2 linked regions of the Canis lupus familiaris genome follow. The protein of the gene in region 1 interacts with the protein of each later gene in a biochemical or structural test. Links are inferred from orthologs where the notes say so. Each region holds a gene or a part of one and is shown in the gene's direction. Other genes may lie near its edges. The genes, in order: ETS2 and ZMYND11.

What was found.
Region 2: the proteins of ETS2 (region 1) and ZMYND11 form a complex in vitro, tested with the Homo sapiens proteins (2 studies listed by BioGRID). The link is inferred for Canis lupus familiaris from reciprocal best matches to the Homo sapiens genes ETS2 and ZMYND11.

The regions. Positions count from the first base shown.
Region 1 is NC_049252.1:33,537,995-33,541,030, forward strand, and holds the end of ETS2 (protein C-ets-2), read left to right. Parts: coding exon 1-198; 3' UTR 199-2,241; downstream 2,242-3,036. UniProt on the Homo sapiens protein: Transcription factor activating transcription. Binds specifically the DNA GGAA/T core motif (Ets-binding site or EBS) in gene promoters and stimulates transcription.
Region 2 is NC_049223.1:33,552,287-33,556,104, reverse strand, and holds part of ZMYND11 (zinc finger MYND domain-containing protein 11), read left to right. Parts: intron 1-454; coding exon 455-662; intron 663-885; coding exon 886-954; intron 955-1,674; coding exon 1,675-1,947; intron 1,948-2,226; coding exon 2,227-2,412; intron 2,413-3,818. UniProt on the Homo sapiens protein: Chromatin reader that specifically recognizes and binds histone H3.3 trimethylated at 'Lys-36' (H3.3K36me3) and regulates RNA polymerase II elongation. Does not bind other histone H3 subtypes (H3.1 or H3.2).

The DNA.
Region 1 (3,036 bases):
AAGAGGAAAAACAAGCCCAAGATGAACTACGAGAAGCTGAGCCGCGGCTTGCGCTATTACTACGACAAGAACATCATCCACAAGACGTCGGGGAAGCGCTACGTGTACCGCTTCGTGTGCGACCTCCAGAACTTGCTGGGGTTCACCCCCGAGGAACTGCATGCCATCCTGGGCGTCCAGCCGGACACGGAGGACTGAGGCCCCCCCTGTGCTGCGCCGGCAGCCCCCCGACCCACCGACTGCTCCAAGGACCCTGAAAGGCGGGATCGCACGCGTCCAGGAAAGTCCCCACGAAGCAGTGGCCTTATTTCCTCGGAAACCGCGCTTTTTCACCCAAAGCAGCATGGTTTCCCACTTCTAAAGCCTGCTGACGGGAACACACTATTTATGATGCTCTTAGAATGGCCGAGAAGGAAGCGCTGGGAAGCCGTCCTGGCTCCGAGCAGGCCGCGCGGCAGGAACCTTCAGGCCGTTGGATATTCTCCAAAGGAGCGAGCGAGCATGCCTCGGGCACACGTTTTTTTGTTGTTGTTGTTGTTGTTGTTTGTTGCCTTTTTTTTTGCCTTTGGCAGCCAGGAATCACAAAGGCAGAAGTGGTCTCTTTGGTTCAGCCAGGCGTGCCATTTCAGAAGTTAGTTTGTATATATGACTGTAACCCTAATAATTGTTGTCAGAATCCTCTCAGAGTCCTATTTAACGAGAACTGTATATTGTAATTTAAAATAATTCTGCAAATGTATTTGAAATGAGAACGCAGACGTCCGGTGTTCACTGCGGTTTCCAAGAGCACCAGCAGCGTTTTGCAAACAGTCTGCCAGGCCAGACGAAGAAGTTGTAAAGTCTGTATTATTTACATTTGATATGCCTACAGGTATACGTCTAACAGGGTCAGTCCCTGTTTCTGTTTTGTTTTGCCCAGATTATTATCTGGCAAGGACTTTGTACATTTGGGAATTTTTATAAAAACACTTAATGTTATTATCTGGAGGCGCATCTCGCCTCTGCTTTCTCCTTAATTGTAATGTAAAAGCTATAAAGCAGTATTTTTCTTGACAAATGGCATATGTATTCCATTTCCGTGCATGCCTTTAAATCCGTTTCTACACAAAACTTATTTTATTTTTTAGTTCGACTGTGTTTCCCCAACAACTAACCTCCCCGACCAGCCATTTCCTTCCCGGGTTCCACCTCCGCGCCCCAAATTATTCTGTATGATTAAAATAAGAATGCTATTTTTGGAAATAATGTGGCTCCTTTTCAGAGAGCAGGAGGGATTTATGTAGCAGCTACTTTTACTGCAGAAGTAATTCACTGGAAAAAAATGTAATTTGTAAGAAAGCTTTATTTTTATCTGCGTCCCGTGTGAAGTTAAACATATTGTACTGGGAGCTGAAGCCTAGGGCAGGTGGGAGGCGGGAGGGTGATCTTCACGGAGAGGTCGTGAGCAAAACCCGACTTGTCCTGTCCTTGCTCACCTGGCGAATCGTGGGCTGTCCGGACACGATGCTACTCCTGTATGCGCAGTACCCACAGCTCCGTGTTCTTGTTTTCGTGGATGCAGAATGCCCAGAGGCAGAGAGAGGACAAGCAAGATGGGAAAGAGAATCCACTGGAGGATTTGATGTGAGAAAAACGTTTTGCTCACGATGGAGAATTTTCATGGTGGTTTCGAAGGAGCCCCCTGGGTGGGCGTGCATTCGGGATGCTTGGAAATGATCAAGTCATCCTGGTTTCAGAGCCAGACGGGCTTCACCTGCAATGTGGGAGGGCACTCGGAGCAGGGGCTGGTGTCCCTAGAGGAGAGGCCATCTGTGTAATAAGGCTGAGAAGCTGGGTGGCGGGGCCTGCTGAGAAGAGCAACCCCGGAGCTGGGGGACCAGTCGCTCAGTACCTACACGAGACCATTTCCAGGGTCTAAGCACAGGATGTTTTTCTCAAGCAGGACATGTTTATCACTCAGACATCTGTTTATAACATCAACAGACATGTGACTGGGAACATCTTGCTGCCAAAGGGAATCTTAGCCATTGGCTCATTTTATATGGGGTTGAACCACATGAAATTGCCAATATTTGACTTTTTTTATCTACAAAGTTGGCAGTTTCATGTGGTTCAACCTAATAGTTACAGAAACTAAAGCCCATTATAAACCTTTGGTGTGGTAATGAACAGACTTCAGTATAAAGATTTTGTAATCTGGCCTTTTCTTTCTCAAATAATAAAGTATTTTGTTTATATAAATGCTTCCTTGTAAGAATCCTCATTCATCCCACCCCAACAGGGAGGAGGGGAGGTGGAGTGAGGATAGTGAACCCTGATCCACTGTCCATTTAGCCAATTTTACACACAGGTCACCTAGTAAATCATGACCAAGCTACAACCAACTATAGCTCTTTCTTAAGGACCCCAAAAAGTGTTCCCTTAAATCAAAAAATTCTTTAAGAAGGGATTAGAATTTAAAAAAAAAAAAGGGGGGGGGATTAGAATAGAAAGATACAGGCACCTTGTCTTTGTTGGGGGATTGGCAGAGATAACAGAAGAGTTTGTAGGATGCTTATGTGAGGAACCCCGTTAGCATTCGAACTTCAAGGACTTTCTTCAGGATGCCTGACATGGCTGAGCTGACTTACCAAGAGGTGAGAGTGATGGTCCTCGGAGATGGGTTCTCAAACACACTTCAGAGTCCATCAGGATGCCAGCAAACAGGTGGGTTATATCAGAGGTGTGCTGGAGTCCCTCCCCACAGGCGGGTGAGAACAGGTCCCTTCCCAACTTTGTATCAGTGACATATTGGTACCTTGAATGTGATGGTGTAATAAGAGTATTTATATTTAATCCATGAAAATCAGCAGGCCCTATATAAATCAGGCTTCCCTCAAGCCCCCTCAGGAGCTGGTTCTTAAACATTTACTAGAATACCACTGGTCATCAGTGTTCACCATATGAGAAATTAGAACACATTTTAGGGCTCAGTGGTTGAGCATCTGCCTTTGGCTCAGGTCATGATCCTGGGGTGCTGGGATCAGTCCCAGATCA
Region 2 (3,818 bases), on another chromosome or scaffold:
CTCGGGGTCTGTGTTGCCCGCAGCGGGTTCCTGGCCGTGATGACGGGCGCCTCTGTGTCAGTCAGGGTGCCTGGGAGACAACGACGTGCTGGAGCCGCTATGTGGTGGGTCACGGTGTCGGGGCCCTGCTGCTTGTACGGATCTGTGTGTACGCTCGGCTCTGCCGGCCTCCGCCCCAGCCAGGTGTGCGTGCCTCTGCAGCAGGAGGGCCGGGAGCCGCGGGGGCTGTGGCTGGGCTGCCCGGAGCCCAGAGCCCACAGTGGGGCCGGTGCGTTGGCCAGTCTCTCCCGCTCCGGTTCTGACCGTCCTCACTGCTTTCTCCTCGGTGAGCGTCTGCGTTGCAGCCGTCCCCCACAGCCTCGGGGCGAGGAATCGCCCCAGGTCCTACTTTGTACTGGATAGAGTCTACTAGCGTTCCGGAAATTTCTAACTGTGCCTCTGGTGTTCCTTGAAGGGCATGGATCCCTTCTGAAAACATACAGGACATCACAGTCAACGTTCACCGGCTGCACGTGAAGCGCAGCATGGGCTGGAAGAAGGCTTGTGACGAGCTAGAGCTGCATCAGCGCTTCCTTCGTGAAGGGAGGTTCTGGAAGTCCAAGAACGAGGACCGGGGAGAGGAGGAGGCGGAGTCCAGCATCTCGTCTACCAGTAATGAGCAGGTGGGTGTCCCTGTGAGAGGCGGCTGTGCACACAGTTGACGTGCCCTTCCCTTCTACAAACGTTGGTACAAAACCCACCCACGGGCCACCCGCAGCCTGGTCCCGAGCCCACCAGGGCCGAGGCTGCAAGGATTTGGGGGAGCTGAGCACAGGAGGGAACAGGTTGCTCACTGTTGTCTGTAGTGTCTGCAGTAACACGCTCTTACTTGTGTGATGCCCGCAGCTAAAGGTCACGCAAGAACCAAGAGCAAAGAAAGGACGACGTAATCAAAGTGTGGAACCCAAAAAGGAAGTAAGTTGCCCGCCCTGCAGTGTCCAGGTGGGCGGCTGTAGGAAGTGCCTCCCTGTCGCGGTCACGACGGTCCGCCCCAGGGGTGCCGTCCATACCCTCGGCCCAGCTGGAACCCCACCGTCTGCCCGCCCGCCCGCAGTGCCAGAAGAACACGCACCAACCTGGAGTCTGCGTCGCACGGGGAGGGCGCTTTGCTGCACTTCCTGGAGCTCTCCTAGTTACTCAGCATTATGAGAAGCGGAGCATTTACCCGATCCTTCAGTTAGGTCAACGTTGAAAAACTGGAGGAAAGTGTGGCTACGCTCCGCCTCTCAAAGTTGTATGTCCATGCTCTAAAACCAGGTACTCATCTGGTGACCCATGCTCAGGACATCTGTTAATGAATCTGGTCCACAGCAGCGACTAAATTGATAAGGGTTTTACGTCTTATATGGTATTTTTCTTTCGTCTGTCTGGAAAGCAAAGACTGTAGTGTTCATATGCCACAAAATGAAGTTCCTGTTTTAAATTCTTGCTATTCATTGCGAGAAGTTTTGGGGGCTTTTTTTTTGTTTTTGGTTTAGTTGTGGTAAACTACACATGACACAATTGACCATCTCAATTACATGTTTTTTAACAGTAGTTCATTACCCTAGTTTTATCCTCCTAGAGCTCGTTCTGGAACCAGGACTACTAACAGGCGGCTTCGTGTCGCGTCTCAGCACTGTCCTTGCTCTGCAGGAACCAGAGCCGGAAACGGAAGCCGTGAGTTCCAGCCAGGAGATCCCCACCATGCCTCAGCCAATCGAAAAGGTGTCTGTGTCAACTCAGACCAAGAAGTTAAGTGCCTCTTCACCACGAATGCTGCATCGAAGCACCCAGACCACCAGCGACGGAGTGTGTCAAAGCATGTGCCACGACAAATACACCAAGATTTTCAATGACTTTAAAGACCGAATGAAGTCTGACCACAAACGAGAAACGGAAAGAGTTGTGCGAGAAGCTCTGGAAAAGGTAAGGCCACCTGGAGAACCCTGAGCGTGACGGGAGCGCTCCGGTAGTGCGTAGGCAGCTTCTCTTGGGCATCAGCCAGGCAGCTCCTTTTTAAAACTAGAACCATCATATAATACCTTTTATAACGTTTGATTGCTAGTAAACCTTGTTTTCCTTCACCTAAGACGTGTACTGCTCTCAATGAAACACAGGGAGGGGGTCCCCCCTTTCCGTAGGAACTGTGGAGTGAGGTGTGTGCATCGCGGGCGGGCCAGTCACGAGCTAATGTTCTCATTCCAGCTGCGCTCCGAAATGGAGGAAGAGAAGCGTCAAGCTGTAAATAAAGCTGTAGCCAATATGCAGGGTGAGATGGACAGGAAATGTAAGCAAGTAAAGGAGAAGTGTAAAGAAGAATTTGTAGAAGAAATCAAGAAGCTAGCAACACAGCACAAACAACTGATTTCTCAGACCAAGAAGAAGCAGTGGGTAAGTACGGTTTGTTCTCAGAGTGTGACCCATGAACATGTTCCACCCAGTGTCATGGTGGTGAAATGGTCTGCGATGCAAGTCACCTCAGAGAGACCTACGTGGTTATGCCAAGTTTATACCTGAAATAAGCTCAAATGTGAAATGATCAGCTCTAGATGGGTTTTATATTTTTACTAGAAGTCCTCTCCCCGGTGAGCTCCAGGACCCCCGTACTGAGTACCGCTCAGGATTACTTCGCTGAGTCTGTGAACCCTCAGACGTGTAGTTACTGTGTCTGATTTACGGGACTACATCCATGCACGCGCCGTCCCCTGAGGTTGGCCTGCTGACTCCTCATGGCCAGGGCTCAGTCTCTGGAACCTGGTGTCAGCAGTCGCGACAGCAAATTAAGGATTTTCAGATCATGCTGCACAGCGTTTATATGTTAGTCTTTTCACTCGATTTACTATTCGATGGTGACGTCTCATGAGCCTCTGACTCCACGTAGAATCTGACACACGGTTCCTTTCTCACCATGTCCTGTTGGCGGCTCTTCCCTAGATTGGGAGCTCGGACCACATCTCAGCTAACTGGTGGGGGAAACGTTTGTGAGTCTTCATGGGATCCAGACTACCTTTTCTGAAGCAGGTCTTTCCACGTCCAGTAGGTGTTCCCTCAGGAAAGTGACCACTACAAATACCGTGATAGAGAAAGAAAAGGGAACTTAGCATCTAATTCAGAACTTGATAGGAAAAGCAGATGAGTAACGAGATAAATACCGCTAGACAGGAATTAAGGTGTACTCCAGATAATCCCCCGCGCCAGGCCCTGGCGCCCTGTCATTCTGTCTCATGCAAAGACAAGAGAAAGCTAGAAAGTGGGCCCTAGACTTATAAGGTTACTGAGGAATCAAAGAAATGAGAGGAGAAGGCTGTAATAGGGAAAGGGAACGCTGCTCGTCTAGCATTCCCCAGCCGTGAGACTGCTGAAGCCCTGCTGGTGGGTCTGCTTCCCTGCCTCGTCCCCCACGTCAGTACCGCCCTGCGGCGCCCATCACTGCCAACACTCTGTGTGTCTCCAGCTTGTCGCAGCTCCAGGGTTTCTTCTTTCTCGGGGACAGACAGTACTCCACTCATCATCATCTTTCTTCACCCATGCCCTGGTGGACGCGGAGGCCGTGCTTTGCTGCACGTGCGGCAGTGAGCGTGGGGCTGCTCACATCTTTGCAGCATCCCAATTTCACTTACTTTGGGCAGATACCCCGGTAGGGAGATTGTGGGGGTCGGAGGGTAGCTCTATTTTTAACTTCTTGAGGACCCTCCATACTGGTTTCCACAGTAGCTGCACCAATTTGCAGTCCTCCCCACGGTGCAAGAGGGTTCCTCTTTCTTTCCATCCTCGCCAACACCTGCTGTTTCCTGTCT